2 linked regions of the Arabidopsis thaliana genome follow. The protein of the gene in region 2 interacts with the protein of the main gene of each other region in a biochemical or structural test. Each region holds a gene or a part of one and is shown on either strand. Other genes may lie near its edges. The genes, in order: SCN1 and ARAC5.

The links.
Region 1: the proteins of ARAC5 (region 2) and SCN1 form a complex in vitro, tested with the Arabidopsis thaliana proteins (one study listed by BioGRID).

What each region holds. Positions count from the first base shown.
Region 1 is NC_003074.8:2,508,770-2,519,526, reverse strand, and holds SCN1 (Immunoglobulin E-set superfamily protein), read right to left. Parts: upstream 5,603-10,757; 5' UTR 5,353-5,602; coding exon 5,119-5,352; intron 5,015-5,118; coding exon 4,948-5,014; intron 4,593-4,947; coding exon 4,374-4,592; intron 4,280-4,373; coding exon 4,155-4,279; intron 4,061-4,154; coding exon 3,983-4,060; 3' UTR 3,544-3,982; downstream 1-3,543. Other genes in the region: AT3G07890 (Ypt/Rab-GAP domain of gyp1p superfamily protein), read left to right, coding at 743-1,234, 1,749-1,865, 1,950-2,128, 2,212-2,305, 2,396-2,473, 2,561-2,662, 2,748-2,888; AT3G07870 (F-box and associated interaction domains-containing protein), read right to left, coding at 7,403-8,656.
Region 2 is NC_003070.9:28,467,307-28,478,302, forward strand, and holds ARAC5 (RAC-like GTP binding protein 5), read left to right. Parts: upstream 1-8,342; 5' UTR 8,343-8,657; coding exon 8,658-8,756; intron 8,757-9,124; coding exon 9,125-9,212; intron 9,213-9,299; coding exon 9,300-9,409; intron 9,410-9,521; coding exon 9,522-9,585; intron 9,586-9,667; coding exon 9,668-9,732; intron 9,733-9,810; coding exon 9,811-9,876; intron 9,877-9,972; coding exon 9,973-10,071; 3' UTR 10,072-10,496; downstream 10,497-10,996. Other genes in the region: LCR67 (low-molecular-weight cysteine-rich 67), read left to right, coding at 5,099-5,162, 5,270-5,448; VPS35B (VPS35 homolog B), read right to left, coding at 10,747-10,957. UniProt on the Arabidopsis thaliana protein: Involved in cell polarity control during the actin-dependent tip growth of root hairs, thus regulating root hair length and root hair initiation.

The sequences.
Region 1 (10,757 bases), on a different chromosome or scaffold from region 2:
TCTACGTAGTTGTAAATAGTAACGTTTCAAAATCACAATCTTTCATTAATATTATAAAATAACCCCATAAAAATTAAAAGCTCTCAATCCAACCCCAGCTCTATCTAAAGTTAGGGATAAACTCTCCCATTTCCTCAACAATCAAAATCTCTATCTCCTCCAAATTCCAACTCTCATAATTTCTCTTCTTCGACAACCGAGAGACGCGGAGATTCAATTCAACGCTCCTCTGGAATTTTTTGCATTTCTTTCAGTTATAATTATTTTCCTTTTTCTTTTCTTTCCTTATTTCTATTTATTTAAAGTTGTTTTAATTCTCCTTTTCCAACTTTAGTGCCATTTGTTCACGAGATAGAGAAATCATAAAAAAGAAATCATCTGTTCTTAGCTTCTTTTAGTTTCTGGAAATATCTCTTTTTTTAACAGAAGCTGTAATTTTTTTTTTGACTGCGTAGAGGAGAAGAAGATTAGAGGTGTTCAAAGGTGATAACGTTTGCAGAACGTGACCACAATTATAATATTGAAAGGTATCAGAAAACTTTGCTAAGATTTATTATAAACTCCTTTTTTATTTAAATTCAAGAGATATCAAACAACTACTTCATTTTTTTTTTTGTAGCAGCCGAGTACTCTTTTTTGACGGTGTCCGTGTTCGTGCTTGGTCTGAAATTGACGAAAAATATTCCGACAAGACAACAACAACAATTAGAGAGATTCAGACAAGGGATTTGAAATTCGGAGGATGTTTGGGATCCAAAGCAGACGTGATTTAACGATGGAGCTACAATCTCAGATTCCGATTCTCCGTCCAAGCATCCACGCAAGACGAGCCAACATCGTCGTTAAATTCCAGGACTTGTACGGGTTCACGGTGGAAGGAAATGTCGACGACGTTAATGTGTTGAACGAGGTTAGAGAGAAAGTCAGGAATCAAGGACGAGTTTGGTGGGCTCTTGAAGCTAGCAAAGGAGCTAATTGGTATCTTCAGCCGGAGATTCTCTTGATCGGTGACGGTATCGCTTTGAAAACTTCTCTCAAGCTCTCCACTTTGACTAATGCGATTACGTTGAAGAGATTGATTCGGAAAGGGATCCCTCCTGTGCTTAGACCTAAGGTTTGGTTTTCTCTTTCTGGTGCTGCTAAGAAGAAATCCACCGTCCCAGAGAGTTATTATAGTGATTTGACCAAAGCCGTCGAAGGGATGGTCACGCCGGCTACGAGGCAGATTGATCATGTGAGTTTGATTTATAATCCAAAGGCTCAATTTTTCCTTTTTGATTGGGTTTGATGTTCTTCACAAATCTTAGTATTTTCAGGGTTGAATTTCGTTGATCCTTTGTGTAAGGGTTGGTGTAGATCTGTTGTTGATCCTTGTGCTCTGTTTGCAACTAAGAGCCTACTTTTGAAAACCCTTTCTCTTATTCTACTGTGTTGTATGATGGTCATAGGAGGCTACTTCATAATGTTATGTGCTATGAATACTTGATTTCATCCCCTGGATCTTGAAATTGTGTCTCTGAGCAAGTAATTTGTGTGATTTAAGGAGCAATTTTAGCTTTTCATTGATTCTTTGTTTTAGGATTGTTCTAGATCCGTTCTTGAGTCTTGTGTTGAGGCAACTTATAGCAGAGCCTTTCGTCTGCTTTGATTGATGGTCATTCAAGATTTGTTGATTCCATTATCTTATACTGCAACTTCCTCGGATCTTCTCATCATTTGCCCTTGACATTGTGTGTCTATTCTTGCAGGATCTGCCACGTACTTTCCCAGGCCATCCATGGTTGGACACTCCAGAAGGTCATGCTGCTCTACGACGTGTGCTTGTTGGGTATTCCTTTCGTGATTCAGATGTTGGCTATTGTCAGGTACATGCCTGTCCTTTTTTCCCATCTCCATTTTCTCAATTTCAAATTAGTTTGTATCTTAATCAATGTCGTTTTTTGTTACAGGGTCTAAACTACGTTGCAGCGTTACTATTACTTGTCATGAAGACAGAAGAAGACGCATTCTGGATGCTAGCGGTCCTTTTGGAAAACGTATTAGTCCGTGATTGTTACACAACCAACTTATCTGGATGTCATGTTGAGCAGCGGGTTTTCAAAGATTTGCTTGCCCAAAAATGTTCTCGGTAAGTCTCTCTTTCTTCGTTGGTTCTTGTCGCTGAGCTTCACCAGCTTATCAATTTCTTGTTATGTTTTGTTGTTTTTGCAGAATAGCTACTCATCTTGAAGATATGGGCTTTGATGTTTCCCTTGTAGCCACTGAATGGTTTCTATGCCTCTTCTCTAAAAGCCTTCCTTCAGAGGTGTTTAGAAAAACAAACCCTTTTGTCCAATTATATGTCTTTTAAGATTACTTTTCTTATGTATACTGAGAACTTTGGTTTTGTTTGCAGACAACTCTAAGGGTGTGGGATGTACTTTTCTATGAAGGAGCGAAGGTTCTATTCCATGCAGCTTTAGCAATATTCAAGGTTCTTACTTCTCTTCCTCTGATCAGCCTTTTCCATAATTGTTCTTCTTGGATGAATCTCATCTCAAGGATCTCTCGTCATTTGCAGATGAAAGAGAACGAGCTGCTTATGACCCACCAGGTCGGCGATGTTATCAACATATTACAGAAAACTTCACACCAGCTTTTTGACCCGGATGAATTATTAACGGTAAGCCATGCCTGCCCTAGTCTGAAAACCGAGTTTATATATTCGAGTTTCGTAATCTTGACTATCGATCAACAAATGTTTTCAGGTGGCATTTGAGAAAATCGGATCAATGACTACCAACACGATATCAAAGCAGAGGAAGAAGCAGGAACCAGCAGTGATGGCAGAACTTGACCAGAGACTTCGGAGACTTAACTCTCTTAAAGAAAGTGGGAAGAGCACATAAATAAAAAAGAACTGTTGGGAGAAGATGAGCCAAAAAGTGCAAACGAGGGAGTCCAACAATGGTTTATTTATCCCTCTTGATGTTTTTTTTTTTTTTTCCTTTTTTTCTAAGTATATATAAATAGGATTTTTTAAGTTTATTTTGAGAGCAAAACATTAACCAAGATCCATTTCTGAGATGGGAAATGTCAAGTTTCTTCACATTCCAAGAGGTGTCACTTGCCTTTTGCATTTTTTACCCCTCTTCATATATCAATTGTGATCTTCATGTTTTTATAGATCAATGTTTGGTTTGTAGTATGAATTGTCAACTGTTCTTCTCAATACTATTTTTCCAAAACAAAAAGTTTATAGAATTCTTAAAAGAAGTTGATAAGATGATAAGAACTTGGCATTATATAAACATAGAAAAACAAAAACTTGGAATCTATTGGAAGTTCAAATTTGAAGTCTCCATGAATTCCATAATCTAAATTTAAATAACCAAAACACAATAAAAATCATACAAATGCACACAACCATATGAGAGCGACGTTGTATCAAGGATCGCGTTTCACTTTATTCAAACCCCATTGGTGAATGGTGATCATGTTTACACGAGGCGGTTAAAGAAAAATAACTAACGGTTTATCAAAATTGTTAAAAGTGGTTAGAATTAGCAAAAAAGACTTGGTGGTGTCGTAAGATGCGTTCAAAAATAGTTGGCTTCTCTTTAAAGGCATATAAAATCTATGAATAAAGAAAGGCTCTGCATTTTCTGTGAAGCAAAACCTTCTTCTTTTTTTAACTTTCAGCTGGACTGAGAATCATTATACATGTCAGAATCTGACACAATCATATCATCAAACACATGTTAACGTGGAAGGAGAAACAGAGTTGAGAACAAACACAGACATACTGATTTCCAACGACATTACTGGAAAAATCAAGATCAAGGATGTAGGAAGTAAATGTCGTTCTTGTTCTAAGATGATCAGAAAACGATTCACAATTATATGTTCAACGAAATAAACGGAGATATGGAGTGAAACAAACACAACTTTCTTCTACCGACAACATCCTCTCTCAGGAGACAACTCTCGCATTCTCCGAGTTTCAAAGCGCAGGCCATTCTTTACGGATGTCAAAGCTGTAGTTGATCTCCAAGTAGCACTTATTATCATCATCAAGAAACTGAAACAAGATTGTCGAGTAACTTTTTAAAACCAACACCAAAGAACTGAATATTACAGAACTAGATTATGAAGTTCATAAACCAACAACCAACCTTAGTTCTTGCAGAATATGATCCTCGAGCAAACATGCCAGAAGGAGTGGTCTCTTCTGGCATCACGTGGTTGTATGGCTCCAACTGAGGACTAAAGGTTCCAAGCATTTCCTTAGCTCTGTCCACTGTAGCCATTAAAGAAAGGAATTGGATCACATTGTCTCTCAACCATCGAGAGGACCAATTAATTAAAAACAAACTTGTGGTCTATTGTTTTACCTTTGACACCGGTCTTCCAAACTGTATTGGTGTACCTAAGACCAGAGACAATGTTGTTGTTAACATGAAAAGTGAATTTCAAGTTGTACTTGCTCCCTTCTTTCAAAGTAAACCACATGCCCTTTGGATTTCCATTCTCAGGAACCAAGAGAACAATGTCGGGTCTTCCAGGAGATATGATGGCGAGGCTATCAATCCTCACTTCCGGATCAAGAGTCTCTGCGTATCAAAAGAGATATAAGGTGACAAATGCATAAATGCAAAAAACACATGTTCCAATCTTAAGTTGATATCTCTACAGTAGCACTCAGAAAAATGGAAAATCAAGCAAAGAAATAAACATAGACACCAAATTCCGGAATCATGGGAAAGAAAATTGTATACATTCGAAGGTAAACAAAGCCCAACCAGAGATCAAAAATACTCTCACATGAATCATATATCAAACGAAACAACTAGTATGATCTAACAAGGGTCTCAAATATGGCCAAAATCATTTCCCAAGATTAAAAATTTCTCATTTATTATCAAAACATAAATAATCATTGAAACAAAGAGGTACACACAAACACACCTCCAATGTTGGTGACATCAACACTTCCGAGAAGCTGTTCCTTCCATTTCCTCAGACTCTCATCATCCTACATGACCCAGATTCAACGACAACAAATTCTTCAAATATCTGACAATGTAATTCAAATAAATAGGGTGGAAGGAAGAAGAAGAAGAAGCAAAAAGGAGAAACCTTGTCCTTCTCGAGATGTTCTTTGATAGTGTACTGAGGACCCAATTGCAATTTGGAATCGTCGTCTTCTTCCTCCTCGGTAGCACAAAGAGAAGATTCGCTCATCTGTCGACTAAGAGCATCGTCGTCGGCTCTTGTTCTGGAGGAGGAGTTCTCATCATCTCCATCCTTGTTGTTCTTGTTGTTGTTGTTGTCGTCGAACCCCATGTCCCTGGCTCCAGATACCAAAGACATCAATCAGCTCTCTCGCCCTCAAGAATTTTGGTGTCTTTGTCGGGGTAAGGGATCTAATCAGAGGGAAATGAGGGCAAATTTAGGGATTTTGGTTTTGGTAACGGCAAGAAGATCAAGTCATGTGGTGATCCGAGTTATATGAGAGAGAAAGAGATCGTGAGGGTCACTAACGGATAATAATCAAATACAAAAGAAAGCATAATTGCTATTTCTTCCACGCGCATAGGAGAGACGATAGCCTCGAGCCACGACAACGACAATGACCACTAATGTTGTTATGTTTTTTATTTTTAATAATCACTGAATTGTCAATAAAATCATTTGTTTGTAATTACGGAATTAGTCCTCTAATCTCGTCTTCAATCATTATTACTTGCATTAATGATATATCCCGGTTTTATCCGGTCTGATTTTGGGATCCAACCTAACATGAGACAAACAAGGGCATATGCTTCTGCCCCTTTTTTTGTGTTTCAATTTTAAAACATATGGAATTTATTGCCACCAATCAAACAATAGGTGCTACCTAGACATGCAAAACCTATCCCGTTTTGCTTATAAAGTTATAATCACGTGATTATGTCTATATAGATTATGTCACTTTTGATTGTTTTAACTCCTATCTCAACATCACACACTGATTTTTTCCATAACAAATTCTCTCACTAGTGTTATTTCCTATATAGACTCGAAACTCCGAAGTCATGTACGCTATAGAAGTATTGACAATGCCTTTCCAAAGTCATATGCTAGTTTTTTTGGGAAAGCATTTTCTACGTTACACATGTATTAATTAATCCCATATTAGTCAACATGCATTAGGTTACTGTCCACACGACACCGTACCAAAACCTAATTCGTTTTATAGATTCATGAAATAAGATAGTCAAACTCATGACATGAAAAATAAATAAAACAGTTGTTGCTAATTAGCATTATAGTGCCGGACGGCATATCTATTTCACTACATGACTCTATTGATGTAATTTGAAAATATTGAAGATAAATTCTGAAAATAAGTGGAATGGAAGAGAAGAGAGAAGACGATAAACAATTTGTGATGTTGATTGGCATTCTTGCGGTCTTCCGCTTCTCTTCGTCGTCTTCAGTTTTGGAGTTGACCCATGTACATATTGGTGAAGTGATTCCATTTTAAATTCACCCAAAAAAAAGCCAGAATTTAGAGAGAACGTATACAGTATACTCCAGAGGTATCGCGGTAACCTAGAATAAACGGCCATTTGGCCTTGCAGTTGTCGAGTCAGTCGATATTATTTCTGGTCGTTCACATTGTAACTTTATAGACCCAATTACGTTCGCCATCATGATCATGTACAAAAATGTTATAATTCCGAGACCACGAAAAATGCATATACTTCAAGTTTTATATAGATGTTTATATATTTAGTAAGATATTATTATGATTAGATCTTCCGATGAATAGAGTTTTCATTTTATTTTCAGGCGATAGGGAATCTTTCCACATGGGTTTAATATTTAGATCGAAGATCGTTTAGTTATTAATACACAAATTTTTCTTTTTAGTGAAAACTATATGATTTGCGTGATTTGCGAAAGCCTCTTTTTTTTTTATGATATATCTTTAAAGTTTGCTTTATCGTCGTCATCTAATATCTTGTTATATGAATTCTATAGATCTAAAGAATATTCTACAAGATTTTTTTATTTTTTTTTCTGCATTGCTTGGTGATCGAGCATGTCAAAACATAATAACATACAATAATAAAGCAATAAAATCAAATGGCACGATCGTGGGTTAGTCCCAAACAATAAGTAATAGTTTATAGTGTAGAACCAAATTACCGGAAACATTTACCGCTAACACTTAGAAATTATATTTACATTTACCGAAGACATGAAAAGGAACCTATAAATTCAACAGAAACGAAACAAGAACTTGAAAAGAAATACACCTTAATCTACCCATTACGTACAAAAGAATGTACTTAGTTGGTATGTAAAGGGGGCAAGAAGATGTACCCAAATCTCAAAACTCTAAATGTAATAAAAATTCAAAACTTTAATTATTTTACCATAAATCAAGGGGTGTATCAAACCAAGACAATGTTCCAGCATGAACAACAGTGTGAAACCAATTAGGCAACCCATGGAAAAGAAGATCTTTAAATTTACCCAATTTTGGATCATATGCCACAAGAACCCTACTCTTATACTCCAACAAGATCTCTCCATTCTCCAACAAACATAAAACCCGAACCACTTTACCATTCTCAGCGTTCTTCCAAATCCACATTGGTCGGTCCAGATTTTGCTTTAGCCCCTTTGGCAAGTAAGTCCCAATGCTATACTCTTTTCCCCATGATTCTTTGACTCCATAAGTCTTCATAACCCATATGTCTAATTTTCCATAGTTACCATAAACGACCGCGCAAAGACACCCTTTAAGGTTCACTAGTCTATGGTTGGTCCGGTTTAGACCACCACAGTCTGGTTTAGGAATCTCTTTAAACTCTTCATCTTCAAGATCAAATGATACAAACTTACGATCCGGCACGTGCCTACGAGGCCTTGTCACAAAATGTAACCTCCCGTTGACCAAAGCCTCCGATGAACGTTTCACAAACTTATAAGGAGCTTTGCCTAAGCTTCTCCAGGACAAAGATTGATCTGTTGTTTTTGATGACAAGGTTAAGATCTGAACCTCTGATTGCTTGTACTGGATTCTACCACGACCTCTGTAAATACCGTTATTGTTACTACTACTACCTCTGAAGTAAACTATCTTCAAAACTTTGTATTCCTTTGTCATCTCATGGAATCCAAAACCGAAGACAAGTTCTTGGTCGTGGTACTTGTTGGAACATTCGGGAAGCTCTAAGGAGTTTGTAGTAAAAGGATTGTAAAGGTAGAGTGAATCGTTGTAGAGAGAATCAGACAAACAGAGCAAACCGTTACAAGAGCCTACCACGTCAAACTCCGGCATGGAAGATGCGAATCTTAATGTGAATTTCTTGGTCTTGATGCGTTTCTCTTCTTCTGATAGGTCGAGGAAGTGAAGACCGTTGCGTATTGGCGAATCGCAGTGAAGGAGAAGACATGGCTTTGTCGGGGAAGAAGAAGAAGAAGAGAGACGACCGTGTTGAGTCAAAACAGATCTCCAAGATCTGCAAACGAACATAAGCCGAGCTATGGAGGAGATTGGTAGGCGAGAGAATATGTCGGCGATGATATCTTCGGGAAGGGATTCTAGTCCTCCTCCTACTCCTACTCCGTCTACATCATCGGTGATCTTTCTCTTCTTGAAACTCTTCTCTGAAGCCATGAATGAAGAGAATCAGAAGCAAGAGTTTTTGATATCGAGATGGAGAGAGAGAGAGGAGAAGAAGAAGAAGAAGAAGAAGAAGATGATGGAGGAAAAAAGGGAGGGTACGTTGAATAGGCATCACATAATAATAATAATTCTTTCGTGGAAATTATTATCTCTAAATTTTATTTTTATTTTAAAGTGAATATTGGAAGAAGAAGGATGATGATTGGAGAGATCTAGACCGTAGGATGAGATTGGAAATTGCATATTTGTCAAAAGAGAATAAAGAAAATGGGGGAAGAATACAAAACCAAACAATAAAAAGTGTGATGATGACAGAGCAACATTTAATTAAATAATTAGTTTTCTTAAGACTTTAATAATAAAAACAAAAAAAAGAAGTTGCCAACTCATGCAAAAGTCCTCTCTTTCCTTTTACTTTTTTTTTTTTTTTTTTAATCTAAGTTGTTTAAAATCTAATTATTACTTTTGGTCGTTAATAGTATACAACTATATTTAGTTCTTTACCTTCTGTTTTATAAATTTGTACACTTTCAAATTTATTTTTAGTTCAGTTCTTTTTTTTATTTTCGAAAAACAAAAGGCCTTTTTCTTAATTAGAGTTGCATTGTTTGTTTGTAATGTAGATCATATTAGACTTTTCTCTATATGTCTCTATTTGTGTTGATGGGTTTCAGTCATAATTAGTGTGTAAACATCAGTTAGATGAAGAGTTTGGATCAAGAGATTTATAAGTAAAAATTCTAATTTTTTTTTTGTCAATCATTAAAAAATCTAAATACTTTGATCATTTATTACAGTAAATTTATTTGTCTACATTTTAACGATATGATGGCACACCGCAAACATATAGATTTGAATCGAAAATTTCCAAGACTTTAATGTATCAAATCGATGCCAAGTGACTTTTTAATCAATAGATAATAGATCTAAGTATGTAAAAACTAAAAGAAATGGTGGGTGGGGGCAGTTGTGCCGTGTGTGTTCTTTCAAAAGCTAAAAAGTAATAACATTTTAGTAAGAGGTGCACAAGTTTCCCACCACTTTGGTTTTTCCAAACACTAGATACCAATACTTTAGGCTGTAAATTATATGATTTAGCATCGGAGCAAAGACATTTTCGTAGGCCCATCTATGTTCAAATCATATATGTTATGTTAGCAATTTAAGAAGAGATGTCTATTGTTTATGTGTTGACTTTGAGATATTACCGTGCCCCTTGCAAAATTTAAAACTTGTTAAAGTAATAACCTTTGTATTACCAATAGCTGAGAACACGCATACGTCGGCATTGCGCTCTGGACAAGAATAGTTGGGACTCAGCTACAAAACCTTCTTCAGCTGCAAGACATTTTCTAAAGTAAAAAAATGTATTGAAGCTCAAATTCCTTTCGGTTTCCTGTTTTATTTAATAATGAAAATATTAGCAGTTTTCTGCTCTGTTATTCACATTGCCACCAATAATTTTACTGCTTATACACTGAACCGGATGAATACAAATATAGCTAAACCAACTCCCACAAGTCTATTAAAGATCAATCCTAAGCTGACTACTTGTGATAAACCAACTCCCACAAGTCTATCACAGAATTCACAAGTAGTTGCTGCTGCGTGTTGTGCTGCTGGTGTATTCCAAGGTGGGATAAACCACAGACGGAATCTGTTAGTTTTGATTTCATCCGTGCTGAGACGACTTTGTCCACTCCAACCTGATCAAAATTCACCACTTGTGATAGTAACAAAAGTAGCAATGATGAATGGAAAAAAGTGAAATCAGCGTGTAGTGCAATGTTTCAGAATCCCAACAAAACAGTAAGAAAAATAACAGATTTCATTTTGCGAAGAGACCCTCAGAAGTTGCCAAGTATCTTCAACAATGGTTCCTCTAAAACCTCCACGGAAATAATCCAAGAGGGAGCCCCATTTTATCACCGTTCCAGATTACTAAAATGTTCATCACTGGGAATCTTAACTTAGTTTCGAAAACATATCAGACCTAATGTCTCAAATCATTTGATCAATACTTAAGTAAAACCCCAAGTCATTCTTGACAAGTATATAATGATTTGATATCCTGCCATGTCTCAGGGTTCTT
Region 2 (10,996 bases):
AAGTCTTCTGACACGATTTGTTTTGGCTTCATCAAACAAAAATCAATAGATAAGAGGTTCACGGCGTTTTAAATTTAACGGTGTAGAGATGCATCTCTTCTTTAACATTGACAGATCTTTATCTAAACGGCGTTGATCTGACCGTTATAAATGCTATAGACAGGACATAACGTTACGTTCCCTAGAGCCTGTGGTTTCTTCTTTCTTTCTTCTGTCGCCGTCTTGTCAACGGCACCAGTTATATAATCCGACGGCGTTTATAGCATCGTCGTCACGTGATGGGGAGAAAAGAGGAATAAGAAGACAAGGAGAGAAGTAAATGGGCTTTAATTAGAAGTAGGGCCTATTTTTCTAATTGGCCCGTATAGAAAGTCTGTCTGTGTCCTTTTCCTAAAGAGACAAATTTGCCCCTTGTGGTTTTTTTGGCTTTAACTTCCAAGTCAACGCTCTTTCTTGTATTTTGTCTTCTCACTTCTCGTTCATTCATACACTCCACTCACCGGTCTGTCACCATACAGACCTTCTGCTTCAAGGTCCCCACGCTCTATGTTCATATTTTACCTTTGTTTCGTTCGTGTGACTCTCTTGAAAACATTAGGGATTTATTCACTTCGGTCCATTTAAGATTTGATCGTGATTAGTCCAAAGTCCAAACCGATCAAATTAATAGCAACTGCCGATACCAAATTATATTCGTTTTGTAATCGGTGATTCAGAAAAAAGTTCAATGTATATAAATTCGTTCGTAGTGTTGATATTAGGACAAATCACTAGTTTGAAACTAAAGATACTAAAAACTATTTAATGTTTGAAGTTTTAGGTTTAGTTGTTAATACTTTTGGCTGAAAACGTGTCAATTTTGTTGTTAATGATGGCAAAACGAATAGCAAAATATTCCTAATGAATTAGGCCGAATGATATGATTAATATGCTTAACTTACATAAGTGAATCTTTCTTAATTATAAGTAAGCACCTTAAAGCAGTTTTTACAAGATCGATTCTGCCACAATCAAAATCGATTCTATCAACAATCTAACAATAAAATAATAATAGTTGTGAATTAATGGTCTGCCGTTATACAAGCACTATGGTTCTTGGCGAATATATCTTCATCCCGCTAACAATTTTTTTAGTTTGATAGAAAAATATATCAGGTGCTTTAGCAACAAAAAGGGATTTTAATCTTTAAAGAAATCTATACACTTGGGGTTGACATACACTTGGGGACCAATGTTCTATTATTATTGCGGTATATTGGTATAAAGGTCCTTCCTAAATGGCAGCGAATTTCTCATATTAATAATCTTTTGTGCATTCTCTTTTAGATATTATCTTATGATATACATTAGATTAAGAAGTAAACGCTGAAAAATATGCATACTTAGCAACAAATAAATGTGCTTTTTTCTCGTGTCTATTTGGTTTAACTTAAGTGGATTGAGAATCAGATCAACAGGTACAAGTGCAACCTTTAAAACAATGAGATGTCAATTAGTGATGAAGAAGAGAGCATCTCTTATGTGATTCGCTGAAAATGCTCTAACTCAATGAACTTTGGGAATAAAGGTTTAGGTTCTCTTCAGCAGAAAAGGAGCTCTTTTTAGTAAGTGGGAAATTTTATTATTGTAAAAAAGAATCTCTAAACTTTGGATTATTTTCTGATGTAAATAGTATAATATACATATAGGAGAATAATATAACGACATATAGCAACGATGGAAAATTTATCACCAAAAATCATGTCATCTTTATCACTAAATGACTCAAGGGTGAAAGAACTTTGGACCAATTTCTAGATGGATATCAATAAATTTGTTGAAATTAAATTATACGAAAGGGAATTAAACTGTAGAAGCTTGGTTCACATGTTTGATTTTCACAAAAATGTTTCGATTTGAACTTGCCATAGTACAATTTGCAACATATGCTTCTTTTACTCTGTTGTTTGCGTTATAATAAAATCGTCTCAAAATATTTAAAAATCATATGCAATTTGATTTAAGAATAAATTTGGAACTGTTTAGAAAGTTAGGTACCCAATTCATATACTTATTAAATACAATAAATAAATCATAAAGTTTTATATACAGATGCACCAATTGTTTATAGATTATCTGTATACACAATTACACACTCTACTAATCAATGTACTTTAGCATAGAATAATACTTTTACTTCTACTAAGCTTGTTTCACTAATTATAATGTTTAGTTAGAGATAAAACCATTGAAAAATCTCAAAAAGTAATAATCAATATAAACAAATAGAGAGAGCAATGATAATAATAAGATATATAGGTCATAGTCTTGTCAATCATGTTAATGATAAAAACGACAAGGCTACAAAAGTAGTAGTAGAAGTAGAAGAAGAAGATGATGATAGTGAAGACAAACTTGTGTCATAAGTGGTCTTACACAAATCCGTCTTGGAAACTGGTGTTTGCCTAATGGCCCTGCTGGGCTTTTGCTTCAGTCATTACCGAATCCTCTTGTATTGGCAGCTTTAATCCCAAATCTATTCAACTCATGCAATGATTTTGGACGAAGAAACTTCTCAATCCCAAATGACCCTTACTTCACCTTTCACTTTTTGTTCCATCGTAAAGATTTGAAACTTTTTAGATCTTATGAAAAGGCACCACATCTTCATCAAGTATTTTCTTTAAAATGTAGGGGAAAAAAAAATCTAGTTCTTTTGTTCATAGTCAACCTGGACCAGTAGGTCGTTGGGCCTTGGGTCTTCAGTCACGTCGGCAATCAACATTCACTTACCCATTTGAAACATTGGATCAGCGTGACCAATGCCAACCCATTAATCTAAATGGTTTAAACAATCAAGCGTGCAAGGATAAATGCATTGGACTTGAGAGAACAAGATATGGAATTTGAAATGTTGCCTTACCAGTTAACAAGTGTCTCTGTTTCCTCCCAAGTTAATGTACCAAAACTCTTTGGTGCTTAATTGTGGGGGCTTTTATAATATTGGGTACATTTTGGGCCATAAATTAGAGAAAGAGCACATTATGATTGAGTTTATGAAGATAGGCAGTTTTTGGGAAATAAATTGACGAAATTGCCCCTGCGATTTCACTCATTCTCCTAAATTGTTTTTGCAGAATCTTTTCCTGAATTGTTTTTGCAGAGCCTCATATTGGATCGATTCCTAACTTGTTTCAATGGATGATGTATTAAGTACAGAGATTGATTATCCTATTTCTCTACTTAATCAATGTTTCTTTCTACAAGACAATATATACACAAAAGATGTATTTACGGAAACAAAATCGATAGAGACAAAAATTAGAAAATCTGTTAATAACATTTCATCACCATCCAATTCAGATAAACCCCAATAAAATCAGTTAAAAGCTTTTTGATGGAAGAAAGCTAACCCCTAAGAAAATATTATATAACGAACCCAAATATACTAATCTTAAATAATTGGAATCGATTAAAATTTTCAATTATTTCTTATCCCTCTTTGAAATTGAAGAAAGAGAGGATGAAATTAATTCAGATCAAACAATTCAAATTCAAAAAAGCTATGGAGGATTACCACCTGCATCGTCGAGGAAGAAGATTGGCCAGGCATAGATCTGAATTTTGTAAGGTGATGGAGAAGCAATGGACATCAATGGTGAGTTTAGAGGCAATAGATTCCATGCCATTAGAGAAAGAGAAAGAGAGAGAAATAATCGCACATTTCTGAGATCGATTGATATTGATGAATTCTCCTCAATTAGATTGAAGGTACAAGGAGAAGAAACTCAATTAGATTGAAGGATAAAACAGTCATCCATATAATATAAAAGTATCTAAATTTGTAAGGAACATGAGATGTTCCTATATCTACAAAAGCACAGACTTTAATATGCTAATCCCATAATTGATCCCTTAATTGTGTGTGTATTCAAAATAAGCCCACTTCTTATAGGCAATGTAACACTTGACTCAAAAGCCAAAGCAGCCACTTAAATAGTTAAGTTACATTAAACAGAGAAGCAGCCTTCCCTAAGTTAAGCATTCTTAATCTAACCAAATATAATTCATATCTAACAATGTTAACTTCTCTTTCTATTCTTAATAATAACCTAACAAATTAACTTGGGTGGTGTACTATTCTGAGTTTGTTACTTGTCTTGTCCATGCACGGCTAGTGCTGGTGCTGTCTTAGAAGGGCTTGAAGGTACGTGGCTGTTGATACAGAAAATGTTTAAAGAGGAGACAAGTCTTTGTCAAAGTTTGCGGATGACGGCTATGAAATCGAAAACGAATTTTCTTTCAGTTTTTCTTAAAAATTTTTTTTTACCTTAAAACAATAAGTTAAATAAATAAAATTAAATCGGATTTATCTTCTCGGTCGTCCGAAAATGGCAGAGTTGAATCCAAGAAGTTTTGTGTGGGAGTTGAGGTGGGAACTACGAAATTAAATATAATCTATGCGCTATTTTACAAATTTGTTAGTCCAAATCCACTATGTTGCTAATATTTAATTACATGTTTAGATCCTAATTAGTTTGATGATTATATAATCAATACCAAAGAAAGTGAAGAAATAACCTAATTTATCAACTTGCCAGCTAGTGAAGTAGCTCCTTGGAGGTTTCAGTAAAAAATAATAAAAGTCGATAAAAAAATACTACCCAACTTCATGGTTTATTATTAAATGCGATGTGGTCGAGACAAAGTACCACTTGAGTACCGTACTAGGATATGCTCAACATATTTAAAATTTTGACCAAGTCAAATTAACCAGCCAGAGATGTTAACAGTTAATGTAGTAGCCACCGGTCCAATGAAATTGCAAATGAACAAACGTAGCACCTGAAAACTCGCCACCGATCACGATCAGCACACTTTTTATGAATTGGTCAAGATATTATCTTCTATCATTAGATGAATACTTGCATGTTAGTATTCTCTACTATCAGACGGTGTGTATTTTTTTATTTATAGGGTTGAACGCTTTATTGTCCCATGCACACGTAAAAGTCGACCTCCCCATCATTTTTTCACTATAAATAGTGGTTGATTTCAAGCAGATTTCTTCAAACTAAAACATATATACATCGAAAACAACTAAGTATAAACAATAGTCATGGCTAAGTCTGCTACCATCGTTACTCTTTTCTTCGCTGCTCTTGTTTTCTTTGCTGCTCTTGGTGAGTAATGATGTTATCGTATACCATATGCATGGAAAATTGAGTTTTAACCTTTTTTCTTTCATTTTATTGTGATAATTAACTGTGAGAGATATATCTATATGCAGAAGCACCGATGGTGGTGGAAGCACAGAAGTTGTGCGAGAGGCCAAGTGGGACATGGTCCGGAGTTTGCGGAAACAGTAACGCGTGCAAGAATCAGTGCATTAACCTTGAGAAAGCACGACATGGATCTTGCAACTATGTCTTCCCAGCTCACAAATGTATCTGCTACTTCCCATGTTAATCTACCAAGAGCTCTTAATGCTTAATTATAAAGTGTGTATTTCTATTAAATAAGTATGTGTCACTCTATGAGAGGTCTTATGACATGTACCAGATATGTTATGTTGCTTTGTTTTAATAAGATAAACTTTTACGTACGACGTATACTACTGTTTCTTCTTGTCCATATTTGTCTGCAAAACTCCAACACAACACAAACGATTATTTGAAAATAGAGAATCGGAGGAATATGTTATAGTATTTCATAAAAACTGCTTATAATAAAGAGTATTCAGCTTATACATAAAAGAGAGCTAGCTACATAACACAATCTCCGACTTAATTATATACCAAAGAGATTTACCTAGCTAATTCAACTTTAAAAAACGAGGTCTTGTGTTGACATCTTTGAATTTTTATTTATTGTACTTAGGCTCGGCTACAATGTAAAAAACAGGCGGTTTCGGAGAAGAATACCAAATGTATGTTTCCACCAAAATTATGTCAATTTACAAGACTGATATCTAGAATGTTCATGCTGATCAGCTAGTTATGTGGTTATTCAAAAAATATCTATAGATATCCCAATTCCAAGATTTGTAAATTATGTTAATATAAACAAAACTGTTACTTCTATGGAGTTTGAACCAGCGTGGCAAAAATTTCCTGCACCCATATTAATATTAAATTATCTCAAGCTAGTATCTGATGTTAGATTTGTACTGTGTATCACACTGTACGTATGCTTGCTTACTTATTACTCTATTACAACAGATATTTGTGTGTTTTCATTGTTAAATAATGTAACAGAAATTTGTGGGTTTGACTGTTCTTTTTACTGAATTTCTCACTACTTGAAGTCTAACTAGAATAACATGTGACTGTTTTATAATTTATAGTTCGAGGTTGATTCAGAAAAGTCGTAAAAATCTCTCATAAATGTATTACCGTATGGCTCTATATTGCATATATGGGCCCAATGTCTCAAGTCTCAACCATGTTTTAAATTTTCAGTACTAAGCAATGCATATGTTTTTGTTAGACACAATTTTTCTTCTTTTTTTGATAAAATGTGAGTTTTTTTTTTTTTTTGAAATGTGATTAATTACCAAAATGGAAACATTGTTACTTGCAAAAATCTTTGGGACAAATAGCTTCTAAGACAATTTGTTTTTTAAAAAGCCTCAGAAACTAATAAACGCAAAGATTACAAATAGAGAACTATTACGAGCTAGGCATGGGAAAACCATTGAGAGAGCAGTCACCGCGGCCTTTGCGGTACCTTCGAGCCAGGAGAGTGTCTCTAATTAATGTGCTCCTGTCGATTTGCTTAAAGACAGAGGCAAATCTGTTATGGAGACTGTTTGTACTTGTCAAACTATGGGCCATCAGTCGACCGCAGCCATTGTTAGACACAATTAACTATGTGCGCCATCTATTATGGAGACTGTTTCCACTTGTCAAACTTTAGCACTATGCCTTTAAAGCTTTAACAAATGTTGAATGACTGAGAAACCGACAAACTTTAGTCTACTACATCTTATCTATATACTAATTACGCAACAAAAAAATAAAAAAAAATTGGATAATGTTTTAAAACATAACATATTTTACTCTTCTTCTATGACAGATGAATTACTACATTCCAAAATAAACAAGTAAAAACTCTTGTTTCGTGGATAAGCATGCACTAGGCAGTCAATTCATTTGGAGTCTCACCAAACCAAGTACCCCATGGGCCCTGGTGGCAAAAATGGTCACTAATCATGATATTTCAAGAGTTGTCATAATGGGCCTTAATTCGCTACTGGGCCTCAAGTGTGAGCCTTCGTGTTATTGTCTTTTCTAGCTTCCAGTTGTGTTAGTGTGTTTGTGCCTTTGTGTTATGGCCCTTATGGCACTCCATATTGTCACTTGAATCACTAATGTAAAGTTTATTCATTTTCAAATAAGTCGCTTTAAATAGAAGCACTAGATTTCATGATCAATCATTATCAAATTTCTTATAAAAAAAATCATAAAGCCTGAAATTCATTTCATGTAAGAATCAGAATGAATGGGTAAAGGTGTTTTTGGTTGAGAGTAGGTAGAAGCGTAGAGCTAACTCTAACCCCTTCTTTAGTTTGGTATGATTGAATATTAGTTCATATAAATATAATTGGTGAAATTTTGATGTGTCCTTGGTCCTTTAGAAGCAAACTGTAATAATGCGACCGTATGATTTGGATAAATCTAATGTGGGACAATTCATGATGTGTCGTATGCTCATTGGTAGGTTGAAAGAGAGTTGAGCACGTTCGTGTAAGATTTTTCGATTCTTATGTCGTAAAGATGAAGAAAACTCTTTAAAATTACAACTATAAAAACAAAGACAAAGACACTCTTGACAAAATTAAACCATATTAATTTGATAAGGGATTTGAGAAAAAGGAATGAAATGGTGCCGTAACACTAAGTCGCACGTTCTTGACGAGAGTCGTCCCAATCCAATGATTAATATTTGGCAATTTCATGCCCTCCCTCCCCATAGTTTGGTCGTTTATTATGCTTTACTCTTAGTTTTTTTTCTTAAAAATTATAATCTTTATTTATTTGCTGTCTTTTTTTTTTATAATTGTCAATTAGGTTAACAACTATGGTCAAATTAGAAAACATTAGTTTTTGTTAAAAGAAAATTAAAAAAAAAATCCATGTTTATTAGTGAATTAGGTTTTTATTTTGGTGGTAGTTTAGCTAATCTCATAAAACAGATAGTAATTTCATAATGTAAAAAGATATTTCTACTATACAGAAAAGGAAAAGAAAAAAAAAAACTCATTACAACGGATAATTTCTCAATTTGTATTCAAATTCAAAATTAAAAGTGCTCAAAATTAGTATTATTTAAAAGAAATACTAAAGTGGGGTGAGTGTAAATGATAAGGTGTTGTTTGGTGTAGCAAATAGCTGGCATAAGGTTGGTATTGAAAAGCTCATCTCAGAATCATCAACGGCCCAAAACACATTGCAAATTAAAGAAAAAGCAAAGATTTTCCTCATTCTTTTGCCATTATTATCTCTCATCGATTTGGCTTGCTACTTTTGAATTTACCCGTGTTCTACTACGATTCGGGATTAGGGTTTTTTCTTGAGTTAGAAAAGATTGTTTCTTGATTCTTGGGAATGGCTGGGATTTGAGGAAGAAGAAGTGCAAAAGGGTTCTTTTTTTGAGTTTGTGAATTTGCTGCGGAGATGAGTGCTTCGAGGTTTATAAAGTGTGTCACCGTCGGCGATGGTGCCGTCGGAAAAACTTGTATGCTGATTTCTTACACAAGCAACACTTTCCCTACGGTAAAGTTTCTTCCTTTTGCTCTCAGTAGTGATCTTGAAGCATTCTTTGAAAATGGGTTTTTGGAGATTATTCATCTTTGTTCTTGAATGTGATTGATTAGCTGGTAAAAATTGTAAAAATCAATTCTTGACATGTTTCTTCAGAACTTTTATTGATGCTTCCATGGATTTAGCTTCTTTGTTATTTATCTTTACCTATGAGCATTGTTCTTCTTTCATTTTGGACTTCATGTTCAATTTGTATGTATTAGTCAAATTTGCAGATATGAGGATCTATAATCTTTTCCATTATTGTGTGTGTTAATGATGATCCACTATTGTGTGTGTTTTAGTTTAACAAACTCTATGACTTGGTTACTGAATATCAGGACTATGTTCCAACTGTTTTCGACAACTTCAGTGCTAATGTGGTTGTAGATGGGAACACGGTGAATCTTGGATTGTGGGATACAGCTGGTAAATAATCCTTTTGAAACTCATCAAATCTGGTTTTCTTGTTTTTTTGTGGTTTCATTTTGACTGATAATTCTTGGGTTTGTGCAGGTCAAGAAGACTATAACAGGTTAAGACCGTTGAGTTACCGTGGTGCCGATGTCTTCATTCTTGCATTCTCGCTTATTAGCAAAGCTAGCTACGAGAATGTAGCCAAGAAGGTTAGCTTTTTGTTGATCTAACGTCTTTCATTTGATAGTAATAACTTTCGTTAAGCTGATTTTGAATTGGTTCCTTCATTTGCTTTTTTTTTTTTTTTTTTCTTTATTTCAGTGGATTCCTGAGCTTAGGCATTATGCCCCTGGTGTTCCTATAATCCTCGTTGGAACGAAACTCGGTATTGACTCTCTTCTTGTCTAAAAACTCTTTCCTTATAATAAGAAAGAGATGAATAATAATTCAAGTTTTGGAATTTGCAGATCTTCGAGATGACAAGCAATTCTTCATAGACCATCCTGGTGCAGTGCCTATTACTACAAACCAGGTACATAACTCCACAATTCTTTAAAACAATAGTGTTTTTTGCTTTGCGAGTTCTTGATCTTTAGTTGTTTGTCTGCAGGGAGAGGAACTAAAGAAACTGATAGGATCACCAATCTACATTGAATGTAGTTCAAAGACTCAGCAGGTATACTACACACATAAATAATATCTCACATGTCTTTTTGTTTGGGATTTTTGTATTTGGTAAGACAGTGAAAATGTTGATTGTTGGGTTTTGCAGAATGTGAAAGCAGTCTTTGACGCAGCCATAAAAGTGGTGCTTCAGCCACCGAAACAGAAGAAGAAGAAAAAGAACAAGAACCGCTGCGTGTTCTTGTGATCGAACATCTCTTAAAACGAAAAAAGGTTTAGGTAACAAAAGAAGCTGAAGGAAAACGAACACCTGCAACATTGTATAGTTGTTGAATCCGGCTTGTTTCGGTCTTTACTCTTCTTTTTGCTGGTGAATCTAATGAGTGAACTGAGGCCAAGAGGAGGATTCTGGGTAAGAGAAGGGGATGTGTTCTTTTCTTGGTGTGTTGTTGTTGTTGTTGTACTTTTGCTATGTAGACTAATCTCTTAATACTATGTTGTCTTTGTTTTTGCTGTTGGGGTCCATTTTGTATTTTCTTTAACAGAAATCTTAATTAATTTTTTAGTGACTTTTTTTAAGCTTCCGTTGATCTTATGGTCTTGTATTGGTATGTAATTAGATTCAGACAACGAAGAACATCTTGAGATAGATCTCTATATACAATAAGATTAGAGACATCGTTGAATTGAGGCATAGTTTCAAAGAATGGTTTACAGAAACGAGGATTCTATACACACAGGTGAGGTGAGTATAAGGAACAAAGAAAATAACAATTACAAAGGTTTTCTCCATTTTGTAATAAGACCGAAAAGAAAACAAACATGTGTAGTGTACACTTCCTTTTCAGAGTTTCCAACATTTCTTTGGAAAATACAGAGAATTCCTCTCGGGATTTGATGAGGCTTGTGTCTCGGATTTAAGTCACAGCTTGATAGGGTCATATTTCTCACCCATCAAACCACCTTTCTGTTTTATGAACTTAATGTAACGCAATGTACTTGTAAAGAAGGGATCTGAGTGGATTGTCGTGTTACCGTTGTCGCTTTGCATCTCATTGTTGATCAATTCTATGAGGCTCTGTATATCAGATGGAGTGATATGTGGATTCCCTTTCTCAAAGAAGTAAATGTACCTGTTGTATATGAAAAAAACATTTTTAGTATTGAGATGC